3 linked regions of the Bombyx mori genome follow. The main gene of each other region encodes a partner of the protein of the gene in region 3 in a complex. Links are inferred from orthologs where the notes say so. Each region holds a gene or a part of one and is shown on either strand. Other genes may lie near its edges.

Region 1 (4,296 bases), on a different chromosome or scaffold from region 3:
ACTTCTTCTTCTTAGTCGAATACTTCATTGCTGAAGGTCGTGTCCTTGAAAGCCCTTCGGGGCTCTTTGTACCATCAGCTTCCATTTGCTTCGGTTTTCGGCTTCTCTCAGGGCGTAGATACTTAACTAACTTTAATCAAATTACAGCACATCCCACGCACTATACTCCAGCCGACAGAAGCGTACCCTTTATTGCTTCCTCTCCCGGACACGACGATCCCGGAGATCAGTCCCCCGGAGACACCGGACATACAGACCGAACGGACAGAGAGCGACTCCAACCCGAGCATCACGACCACCAAGAGCCTACAACAATAACCGACGAACATCAATCTCAACCGATGTCCAAAGATGATGAAAAACCCTACAAAAATCAAAACGATGCACCAATTAAATCAGAAAGACCAATGGACGTAGAGCATAAAGAACAGACTTATCAAGAGGATGCGAATTTCATTGGACAGGAACAAAATTACGAAGCAACAGAAATGCAATACCAACCTGAATACCAAAATAATTACGAGGAGCCGACTTACGCAAACGAACAATATGAAAATTATGAACAATATCAGCAATATGCTGACCCCAACGCGCAATATAGCGAAGAACAATACAACAACATAGCCGAAGTCAACTACCAACCCGAGCAGAATTACGAACAAAGCTATGAGAACACAGCGGAGGCTCCACAAGAACAATATTACCCAGAGTCAAATGACACAAATCCAAGTGATGCTCCAACGAAAATGGCGGAGGAACATCAGAGTTAGCAATTCGTATGTTTTTATTTCTTGCAACATTCCGTTACAACGCTTTTGATAGAGTAACGTGCCACTAATATAGATTAGCTTTCGGCGTCGGATAAATAAACTATGAAAGTTGAATGTGTTGAATAATAAAATCTATTGAAATGTTTATCGAGAAACGAGTTAATAAATCGCTCAATACTTATATTGCAATTGGATATGATGTTTTATTTGATGTTTTTTTTATCTACAGGGAAAACGTGATTATTTTGTTTTTTTCTTCAACTTAAGCCCCATGATCTCGATTTTGTCTTGACGGTTTCTAAAACAATATACAAAGTACTTAAGGGTCAGGGTGCGCACAGAAGTCGTGTAGGACTATGCGATTTATAAGTGGCACGAGTTGGCTTCGAACCTATTTGGACTGCCAAGCAGTTCTTGTTTGCATGAGACCGACGTTACACTATTTAATTTGAAGAAAATACAGCACGAAACATTAAGGACTATTTGGCGGGCACTCAAGCTGTTACTTTTTAATTTAATGTCTCTTCAGGCTTAAAATTTACATATTAATCGATTAGAATTCGTAAAAGTACATTGAAATATTAACCGTAGTCTTAGTGAAAAATAGGCCGTGGCATAACGGGCCCTTCCAAAAAGTCCGTGGAAAATAGGAAGAATAAGTCCGTCTTAGTAAACCAACTGTCCACCCATTTGATTGCAAGGTATTTTCATCTCATCTAAGTCCTGACCGTCTTTTATATTAATTCATTGAATTTCATTTTCTTTATTCAATTTAATTCCAGAACCAATTCAATTTGTATTATGTATTGTTTTAGTTCCACTTTTAATACCACAGACACGGAACCGCACTTCGGTACAAGTTTTGACTGTATGGGCTTCATTCCTGTTGCCTATCCAAATGACAATTCAAAAGAAAACTATTAGTAACAACATCAACTTAAATAAATTTTATTTCTAACAAATATTAAGTGTATTAACTATGATTTCTTAATAAAACTAGCTGTTCACTAGCAGAGCATATTTTAATATTTGATAAGTAATATTTAATTAATATAACCTACATATTATTCAGTCAAAACAACAATTTAATAAAATTTCGTACTAATACAAGCTCGTTAGGTTAGTAAGAAACAGAACAAAAATGGTTTGTGAGAAGTGCGAAAAGAAATTGGGCAGAGTAATAACGCCGGACCCTTGGAAGGCTGGAGCTAGGAATACCGTGGAGTCCGGCGGACGTGTTGTTGGAGAAAACAAAGCATTAACCGCCAAAAAAGGACGATTTAATCCGTACACTTCCACATTTCAACAGTGCAAGTGAGTAATCCTGATGTTTAAAAACCAATTTTGCCTCATACATTCTTAATAATACTTCCCCAATTTTACCTCATACATTCTTAATAATACTTCCCCAATTTTAACTCATACATTCTTAATAATACTTCCCCAATTTTAACTCATACATTCTTAATAATACTTCTCCAATTTTAACTCATACATTCTTAATAGTACTTCCCCAATTTTGCCTCATACATTCTTAATAATACTTCCCCAATTTTACCTCATACATTCTTAATAATACTTCCCCAATTTTACCTCATACATTCTTAATAATACTTCCCCAATTTTAACTCATACATTCTTAATAATACTTCTCCAATTTTAACTCATACATTCTTAATAGTACTTCCCCAATTTTGCCTCATACATTCTTAATAATACTTCCCCAATTTTGCCTCATACATTCTTAATAATACTTCCCCAATTTTGCCTCATACATTCTTAATAATACTTCCCCAATTTTACCTCATACATTCTTAATAATACTTCCCCAATTTTAACTCATACATTCTTAATAATACTTCTCCAATTTTAACTCATACATTCTTAATAGTACTTCCCCAATTTTGCCTCATACATTCTTAATAATACTTCCCCAATTTTGCCTCATACATTCTTAATAATACTTCCCCAATTTTACCTCATACATTCTTAATAATACTTCCCCAATTTTAACTCATACATTCTTAATAATACTTCTCCAATTTTAACTCATACATTCTTAATAATACTTCCCCAATTTTGCCTCATATATTCATAATAATACTTCCTAATCCCGAACGCTTCAGACAAACACACTAAATACTGCTGGACTTTTAGTTACCAATATGTAAAATAACAATACAATAAAAGTTAGTTGTTACTTGTTTGAAGGATGTTTTTTATATTCATTATCCCTTCTTCTCTTGAGTGATTTATTTAGTACACTACATGGGTAGATTAATAGGGCCATAGATGATTGTAATGTGTACGTTGTTTTTATATGAAGAGATGCAGTTGAAGATTTATTCGAATTTAAAAATGGCTCTCCTTTGAAAATGGGACAAATTTATGGTTGCAATAACTAGGTTTGTGGAACCTATTTCAGTACATTACACCATACCACCTCCACCTCCTCGTGTCGTTTTCCTCATTACTGAACTCCCCCGCTGCATCAGTTTCTTCCGTACGATTTCCCTCCATCTGCTGCGATCCTTAGCTTCATGAAGGACATTGTGGAAGTTGATGTTCAGAGAAGATTGTATTTAGTCCGACCATCTCGTGGTACTGCATCCTCTTGGACGTTTGCCATCTTCCTTTCCTGTCAGCATCAGCTGTTCTAGATTGTGACCCTCTTTACGGGCAATATGTCCGAAGAATTCCAGCACCCAACGAAGGCATATATTGGAAAGACTAGTTATGATATTAAGCTCTCTCAGAATAGTCACGTTGGTGAGAAAGGCATTCCATGGAATCTGTAACGTTTTTCTCCAGCTCCACATTTCAAAGGCGTCTATTAGGTCTAACCATACCTCCAGTAAAATGTATTAAAAGTTTTTAAAATATATTCTTTTATTTTTCAGAATCTGCAGAACGAAAGTACACCAGGTCGGATCACATTACTGCCAAGCTTGTGCATACAAAAAGGGTATATGTGCCATGTGTGGAAAGAAGATTCTAGACACTAAGAATTACAGACAGAGCTCAACTTAGTTTATTGTTATGTTATCCTAGTTCATAAGAAACATTACCTAAATAAGTTCTAAAAGAAAAAATATAGTGTATTTGTAAAGCAATGCTTTATATGCCTTGGACTATTTTAAGATAATAATAAAGATACTGGAAATTTCCTCACGGATGGTAAAGTGTGATTGCTTCGAGGAATAAACAGATAGGATTGTAATGCCAACCTATGAACACCCACAATTAGCGGTACTACAGATAATCAAGACTTGAATCCAAGAAATCGGTTTCAAAAATGAAATGAGAATAATTCTAACACTCATGAATGATGACAAATTATAATGATTGTTACAAGTTGTCATCTGTCCTATCTATGTTCTAAATAATCTGAATAATTCTGAATATATGTTTATTTATTTATTTATAACTTTATATACTAAACGGTATAAAGGACTTAATGCCATAGGCATTCTCTAACAGTCTACCTTAGGGGGGTGCAGAGATGAACCTTGGTAGGTGTAGTGTG
Region 2 (4,296 bases), on a different chromosome or scaffold from region 3:
GAAGAAGAAGAAGAAGAAATGGATACCTTATCATCTGCTTGTCCGTGCAACTCTTCATTGATCTTCTGAGCCTTCTCAAAGATGGCTTGGGCATCTCTATCCTTTTCTGTGTCTAATTCATAGGTAGCTGTTGCATTCTCTCTCTGTTGTTGAACCGATAGTGTTGTCCTTTGAGAAGTCTGAAAGAATTGTAAGCTTATGTTGATCTAAATGGATCTTAAAACGGTTTTTTTTTATGTTCAATACAGAAGACAAGACTTCAACATAAAGATGACGTGTAAAAAGATTAAAGAGATAAAAAGATGTGTGCCAGATTTAAGTAAAGATAAACTGCTCTAATTGTTGATAATATTGATTTCAGTGGAGATATAACTGAGACACTAACAAATATCTCAAGATGCATGGCGGCATTTACTTTGTAGATGTCTATGGGCTCCTGTAACCACTTAAGAACTTAAGGAATAAAAAAAGACAACCCGAAAGGCTGAAATGGCAGCAAGCAGGCTGTTGGAACCAAAAGTTCTCAAGTGGCTATTATATATCTAAATATGTATGAAGTATGTGAAGATTTGAAGTGTGGGTAGGCCTTCTACAAGATGGACCAACAGCCTGTTTATGATATCTTATATCTGGTGCTTCAAAGGTGCAGATCTCATTATAGATCAGATTATCAAATCTGATGATATCCAAGTGAGTTGATGATGATGATGAGCTGTTAATGTTACTATACCTTTTCTTCATCATTACTATCATCATTATCTTCAATTACATCAATTTTGGATTTCTTCGGACCTCCTGTAGACTGTATGTTTGGATTTGGTTTGTTCACCCTTTTCGTTGGTAGAACTACTTGTTGCTCATCAGAGTCCGAGCTGTTTTTCTCTGAAACGTTACTATATTAAATTATATATTAAGCAGCCGTCTGGTGTAGTGGTAAGTGACATGGTCACTACACAAGGGGGTCGCAGGTTCGAATCCCGCCAAGGGAAGATATTTGTATGATAAATATAAATGTCTTTCCAGGGTTATGGGTGTATATTAAATATATATATATATATATATATATATGTGTATAATAAAAATATTATATTTATTTCCGTTATCTGGTACTTGTAACACAAGTTCTTTACGAACTTAGCACGGGACCAGTTAACGTGGAGTGATTGTTAGTAAATATTTATATTTATAAAAAAAAAAAATATCAAGTATATATGAGGCTGTCAGCGCAAAAGTGGCCTAACCCACAATTTTTCATGCTTATAATCATGTATATTGCAATTTATTTAATATATAATAAATTTTTATGCAAAACCGGCCTATCCATAGTTTCACCCATAGAAAGCAGATGGCTTTGTAATCATTATTTTAGCGCATATTGTTTTTTTTGCCAACTCAAATTCAAATTCATGAAAACTAAAGCCTCATTGCTCCATAATAACTATAGTACGCTTAGGCTGCTTTTGCGCTGACGGCCTCATATGATAAAATATATATCGACACTTGAAAGGCAAACGTGACTAAGCGACAATGCGTGAACTTTACGGTAGACTAATTTAAAGTTGAAATACATGAAAACAAAATTTATTTTAACGAATCCAGTTGTAGTAGAAACTAGCTAGTAGCTGTAGGATTGAAATAATTTTAATAGACCTAGAAATATATATTTTTTGCGGATCGAATATGGTTATTGCCTATCATTTATGTGCAAAGCAGTTATTGTCGCTTAGTCACTTTTGCCTTTCAAGCGTCGATATATTTTTTTTATAATGGTAATCTGCCGATAGTTTCTGCCAGCAATTTCTGCCAGTGTCGTGTTATGGCTACATATGGAACATTGTCGAGCTATTTAAACACACTTTATATTATAAAAAGTATCCAATTTTGGCTATATTAATGGTGCCTGGGACTAACACAAAATTAATGTTACTACAAACTTACATATTATAATAAAGATTATGTACAGAGAATAATGCGCTACATATAATTATAATTTTATAGTTAGTAGTTATACACTTAATAAAAGCACTTATAATACGGGGGTCTGGGAACAGTGAGAAAGAGGATATGAAGAAGCGATGAGATAGTTTTAATGTACTATTCTTAGATGTCTTTCGTTTGGAGAATAATTTAATAACTTAACGATCAATATTACCTTCTGAACTGGAAGTTTTACGTTTTCTGCCACCCCTATTCTTAATATTACGTTTTTTAAAAGTACTGAGTACTTCCACTTCGGCGTCTGACATTTTGAACGATTGTTTATTCAACCTAGTGTGTGCTTACTACGATATTAGAGTAATATCTACATAATCATTAATGAGGACACAATAATACTAAATAAAAGTACTGTATTTCACTTTAGGACCTTCAAGTATTGTCGGTATTTATAGGGTTTTTAATTAATTTTTGCATTTCACAACATGATAATATTGGCAATGATCAAAATAATGCTCATTTTTAACATTGACATGTGATTGATTTTGACGGATAGTTGTTTTTTTAAACTATGATTTGTCTATTGAATGGAGGGAATACTGCCCATACAACATAGCTTAAACATTTATAGCAATGCCTGAAGTTAAATCAAAACTTAAATTAGCATATGGAATAATAAGGTTAAATAAGAGAAAGCCGTACATGTTGTATAAGATGAAATAAAATAGCCTGTCAGTAAATTAGCGGAGACTTATTGAGGCTTCTAGGCAATTTGGAAGGGACCCGAGCAGCCACACAGCCACATTGAGGAATTCTTTTTTTTTTCACACTTAAGCCCTTTCTACTACTACTGTTAAAAGTTGAAACCAGAGTTAAAACTCAAACATTGTAATGGACATAATAAACACTATTCTTATCACGATGTTCATGTCTCTTTTATAGTAATAATAAATAGATAAATTAATAAAGTCATTAGCTGCCTTGAAATAAAGTGGAAGTGGAATCATAATTTACCATACAAACTGGAAATATTGAATGCTAAAAGGTTTAGGGTGTAATTTTTTTTTTATTGCTTAGATGGATGGACGAGCTCACAGCGCACCTGATGTTCAGTGGTTACTGGAGCCCATAGACATCTACAACGTAAATGCGCCACCCATCTTGAGATATAAGTTCTAAGGTCTCAGTATAGTTACAACGGCTACCCCACGCTTCGAACCGAAACGCATTACTGCTTCACGGCGGAAATAGGCAGGGTGGTGGTATCTGCCCTTGCGGACTCACGAGAGGTTCTACCACCAGTGATTACGCAAATTATAATTTTGTGGGTTTGATTTTTAATACACGATGTTATTCCTTCCCCGTGGAAGACAATCGTGAACATTTGTTGAGTACGTATTTCATTAGAAAAATTGGTACCCGCCTGCGGGATTCGAACACCGGTGCATCGCTCAACACGAATGCACCGGACGATTTATCCTTTAGGGCACGACGACTTGATATTTTAAGGAATGCACAAAAAACTCAGTCTAGTTTTATCGATCCTTGTATTAAAACGTCACAGGTTACAGCGCTCACTGATTGCTTGTCACTTGTCAGGCTTAATATTGCCGTATTCTGCAACGCGGCCCCGTTTTGTATTTCTTAGATGACCGTTATGAGAAGTGCACATTTATGAAACACAATAAAAGAATGACATCGTGTAATAAAATGCAAACTGTAAAAATAATAATTGTGTATAGGTATTGTGTGCTCGCATAGATAAATTATTTTGTATACACCATTAATGGCTGCCACAAAAAACATTTAAGAATGATCACTAATTATGTAGTATGATAAGAGATAATTTTTCTGAAGAGCCCAGAATACTTTTCATACTCGCCTTTCGTGATTTGTAAAAATGTGATTAATTTTGATGAGTAGGTAGTATTGTCCAAAATTTGTATGTATGTCTGTATGTAGTGAAGTCTCTGAACGTCATTTTCGCCGACTTCAAGACTTTTAATCAACTCGAAAATTTCAACACGCATCAAGGACCGACACCGATGCCATAATTTTATAAATAAGCTAGCTCTAATATTCTGAAAACTATCAACAGGATAAAAAAATAAATGAAATTAATTGTCAGTTAGGTTTGAACATATTTTGTTAAATTTAGCTTGTTTCTTTGTAAAAAATTCAAGTACAGAATATATTTTAAATACCTGGTAATTAAATACCTTTTTACTGGTGGTAGGACTTCTTGTGAGTCCGCACGGATAGGTGCCACCACCCTGCCTATTTCTGCCGTGAAGCAGTAATGCGTTTCGGTTTGAAGGGTGGGGCAGCCGTTGTAACTAAACTTGAGACCTTAGAACTTAT
Region 3 (4,296 bases):
TCCGGTGCATTCGTGTTGAGTGATGCACCGGTATTCGAATCTCGGCGGGTACCAATTTTTCTAATGAAATACGTACTCAACTAATGTTCACGATTGACTTCCACAGTGAAGGAATAACATCGTATAATAAAAATCAAACCCGCAAAGTTATAATTTGCGTAATTACTGGTGGTAGGACCTCTTGTGAGACCGCGCGTGTGGGTACCACCACCCTGCCTATTTCTGCCGTGAAGCAGTAATGCGTTTTGGTTTGAAGGGTGGGGCAGCCGGTGTAACTATACTTGAGACCTTAGAACTTATATCTCAAGGTGGGTGGCGCATTTACGTTGTGGATGTCTATGGGCTCCAGTAACCACTTAACACCAGGTGGGCTGTGAGCTCGTCCACCCATTTAAGCAATAAAAAAAAACTATTGACATTCTCCATCAAGTACCAAGTTACTATTCAATTGCTTAAGCAAAGTACAAAGATTTTATATTTATGTTGAATGATAATTAGGAACATTTTTAAATAATAAATATAACAGCATCCATTGTTTTTAAAGACCTGCCTGATCTGAATTGTATTGAAGTCCACACCTACCTCTTTTTGATCTTCTTTCTTTTCTGGTGCCTTATAGTCCTTTTCTAATTCTTGTAATATATCTTTTGTTTCGGCAGATACTGTTTTCAATCTTGCATGTGGGTCTTTTTTCAATGCTATTTCCTCTAAATGAGCAAATTTAACAATGTTTAAGTTAACTTTCATTTTTTTCAAAAGTCAATGAAATATCACTTGAACAGCGGTAGTTATGAGAGTAAAATTGCTTGGTTAAATTTTAGTAAATTGCTTTTGTTACAAAAAGTTTAGTCAAAAACACCACTTGACTACTAAGGCAACAATTTATTTATGCCTCAGCTACTACCAGCTTATATAGGCAATCATAACCTTTTAACTCTCATTAATCACATTAAATTTAGTTCAAAATGTAATTTTTTTTAAATGTTCGTTATTATATTCAGAACTACAACTAGTTATACACGAACAATAATTGAGTTACCTTCAGTTTCAACACGTAAATTGTGTTTTATGTGATGAAAATTTGATATATTAAACTTTGCCAAGTTTTGAGGGTCCTGAATAGTGATAATATCATTACGTGCAGCAAAGGGTGTATCATCAACCAGGTCCTTCCAATTTTTGCCTTTGATATTGAGCTGTTCAACAGCCTCATAAGAGTAGACATTTCCACTAGTGCGTATGGCAACAATATGCGAGTTTTTTGTAAAGGGTTTAAATAATACTGGGCAGTGGTAGGCATCTTCAGCATTTTTGAAGAAGTTTAACTTTATTAGAGTTTTTATATCAAGTTTCTGTAACAAAAAAAAAGTTATTCATTTACTTATTTTAATCTTATGTGCATAGCCAATTGATATTTAAATACAATTTTCAAGTTATTGTGGCTTATGGGATAAGAATCCCAGTGCATTGATACATTGGTAAATGTTCACTAATGCCTTCCACCTTGATAGAATCACATAGTGCAATGAAAATCATTACCACAGAAATTGTAATTTGTGTAATCACTGTTGGCAGGGCAAGCCTACAAGGGTAGGTTCCACCACTCTGTCTATTTCTGCCATGAAGCAGTAATGCGTTTCTATTGGCAGCCGTTTTACTGAAAAAATTAGATGTGGAACTCATGTCTCAAGTTGGCAGCGTCATTTACGTTGTTGATGTCTATGGGCTCGGGTGATCTCTTGACACCAAGTGGGTTGGAGCTCGTCCGCCCACCTTAGCAATATATAAAAATATTTACAATCCTTATCGAACTAACCTTTCCAGTCACAGGATTAATTTTAAACTTTTTTCGAAAATCAATGATAGCTTGCAATTCAAATACATTGCCGTCTGCATCACAGTAGGGATCGTCAAAGGGCTGCAAACAAAGACAACAGTGATCGAATGGAAGTCTTTTAAATGTTGTATCTTCTTCAGTAGCCGTTCCAGAACGTTTTCCACCGTAGAGAGTTGTCCATTCCGTATACGTTAAATACCTTAAATTTACGGAAAACGTTTTGAAATAGTAGAATATTTAGGCTCTAAACATAGTCAATGACAAGCTTACATTTTATCTTTTTGATGCTGTCGTTTCCCCATCTTGAGTGTTTTTTACGATATTATAATTAAGTAGGTACGTTAAATAAATAACACTGTTGCTTAATTCTCTCAGAGTCAGAAAGAAGAAAATATATTTTGATTTTAATTAAGCTTGATTGCAGATCTTGTTTTGAAAATGGTAGTGTTGTCGTATCGAAGTTTTTCTTAAATTATTTTTTACAGCCACTGGTGGCGTGACTTTTTAGCATCATTTGAAATAAATAAATAAACATAAGTATACTTTTTGTAAAATAGTTGACATTACTTCACAGAGAAACTGTGAAAGCAAATCGAGTTTATCAATATTATAATTATTTTCTTCGGGTTTCGCGAGTCGTTGGCTTATTATAACTACTAAATATATAACAATTATTACTATGAAATAACCCGAGATTAAATCGTAAGAGTAATTTAATTATTATCAACGTTATTACAGGCTTACTTCTGATGAAAAGTAAATTAGCATAATAGGTACATAAAATAATCTGCAGTCAAATAGAATCTTCAAGTTTCTACCAACAGGAGAAAACGTCAACACAATAAGATCCTTATTTCTTAAAACCCTGGCAATTATTTAAAGAATTTATCAAGCGGCAACATTGGTAAAAAAGTAGAAAATGTCGGAAAGTGGTTGTGCATTGTGTAAATTTTTGTAATTTTTCTTTAACAATTGATTAATAGTAATTAGTTAGATTAAGTAAAATTAATTTGTATTGTATGAGTAGTAAATTTATCTATTAGATAATTGTTTAGTCTTGATTTATAATTCATAAAGATTCTGAATTTACGAAGTGGCAGCGTGAAAAATTACGAAGTTGTTTGTGTTGGTGCGGGTGACGGCTGACGATCAAATGGTTGAAATGTGGTAATTGCTACAAGTAATAAAGAATAGTCAGAAAACAGAAAAAAGCACAAGTTTATCATTAAATAAGGTATATTTCAGTTATAAGTCTCGAAGTAGTATTGAATTACGGGAAAGTAACTCGGTGATTTGGGCTTTGCAGTGCGGACATCGTCGTCGAGATTCCTTTGGTACATATAGGGGTTGTTAATTCCTAAAGTGGAAAAGTATTTTCGTTACTTATTTGTTACCCGTCAGAACACCTGAAATTCTCAGAAACTGGTAATTGGATACCAAAAATCGTAAATTATCGGATAACGCCAGCCCACAAGATGGCCGACTGTTATTCGTAAGGTACAAATAAATCTTTTTTAAATCGTATTTTGTCCCTAGATCTTTTACATAAGTGAATGATTTGCGATTCAATTTATTTTGCGTCTCTGTGTTTATATTTTGCAGTTTAATTTTTTTAAATTGAAGTATCTGAATGTCTTTGTGTCGAATTTTTTGCTCGAGCTTCCAACAAAAAAAAAGTGCAAGACAAAATTTTCTACCTGGTCCTGACCCAAATTACTGGAACGTTGCACGCCAATAGTTAATTTGGGAATCAGTATTAATTTTCAACGTTCAGTGTAAATGAGTCTCATTTAGATTATTCATTGTCATCAATGTTTTGAAGTTATTTTACTCACATGTAATAATGTCAACATACAAGCATGGATAGTAACTGATATTTTTTTATTGCACATCGTTTGCTTTTCTTAACACACCGCTTCGTTATGCAGAATTAGGCGTTTGATGCTTTTAGATAATGTCTGGTGCATCTGGTTCATCAGGCAGTGGAACTGGTCGAGGCAGAAGTGCAACAGACGGCAAACCAGACACGAAAGAGAACAAACCAAACCATAAAATGTCAAAGGCTCTCGGCACATCGGCCAAGAGGATTCAAAAGGAATTGGCAGAAATTACATTGGACCCACCACCAAACTGCAGTGCAGGACCAAAAGGAGATAATTTGTATGAATGGGTGTCTACCATCCTTGGGCCACCAGGCTCAGTGTATGAAGGAGGAGTATTCTTCCTAGACATTCATTTTTCACCAGAATACCCGTTTAAGCCACCAAAGGTAATTTACACAATGGATTATTGGATACAAAAGGCTTTTAAATTAGATGCTGGGAACATAATGTTTTGCCTTATAAATATACTAGTTTGATATATACATAAAATAAATAATAGTTCAACTCAGCATCAAGAATAACCATTTTTGGAAGTTTTTTCAAGTATGTATTGTTTTGTAAATTCCTATTCTGAAT

The links.
Region 1: RING-type E3 ubiquitin-protein ligase PPIL2 (region 3) and cysteine-rich PDZ-binding protein share a complex: the UniProt entries of both Homo sapiens proteins name them as parts of the minor spliceosome. The link is inferred for Bombyx mori from reciprocal best matches to the Homo sapiens genes PPIL2 and CRIPT.
Region 2: RING-type E3 ubiquitin-protein ligase PPIL2 (region 3) and E3 ubiquitin-protein ligase RNF113A share a complex: the UniProt entries of both Homo sapiens proteins name them as parts of the minor spliceosome. The link is inferred for Bombyx mori from reciprocal best matches to the Homo sapiens genes PPIL2 and RNF113A.

Annotation. Positions count from the first base shown.
Region 1 is NC_085130.1:5,681,413-5,685,708, reverse strand, and holds cysteine-rich PDZ-binding protein, read left to right. Parts: upstream 1-1,649; 5' UTR 1,650-1,911; coding exon 1,912-2,084; intron 2,085-3,670; coding exon 3,671-3,800; 3' UTR 3,801-3,879; downstream 3,880-4,296. Other genes in the region: drebrin-like protein, read left to right, coding at 148-770. UniProt on the Homo sapiens protein: As a component of the minor spliceosome, involved in the splicing of U12-type introns in pre-mRNAs. Involved in the cytoskeletal anchoring of DLG4 in excitatory synapses.
Region 2 is NC_085108.1:7,585,419-7,589,714, reverse strand, and holds the start of E3 ubiquitin-protein ligase RNF113A, read right to left. Parts: upstream 2,497-4,296; 5' UTR 2,247-2,496; coding exon 2,153-2,246; intron 883-2,152; coding exon 731-882; intron 180-730; coding exon 27-179; intron 1-26. UniProt on the Homo sapiens protein: Required for pre-mRNA splicing as component of the spliceosome. As a component of the minor spliceosome, involved in the splicing of U12-type introns in pre-mRNAs. E3 ubiquitin-protein ligase that catalyzes the transfer of ubiquitin onto target proteins.
Region 3 is NC_085116.1:14,590,408-14,594,703, reverse strand, and holds the start of RING-type E3 ubiquitin-protein ligase PPIL2, read right to left. Parts: upstream 2,316-4,296; 5' UTR 2,140-2,315; coding exon 2,108-2,139; intron 2,037-2,107; coding exon 1,817-2,036; intron 1,353-1,816; coding exon 1,040-1,352; intron 708-1,039; coding exon 583-707; intron 1-582. Other genes in the region: ubiquitin-conjugating enzyme E2-24 kDa, read left to right, coding at 3,792-4,106. UniProt on the Homo sapiens protein: Has a ubiquitin-protein ligase activity acting as an E3 ubiquitin protein ligase or as an ubiquitin-ubiquitin ligase promoting elongation of ubiquitin chains on substrates.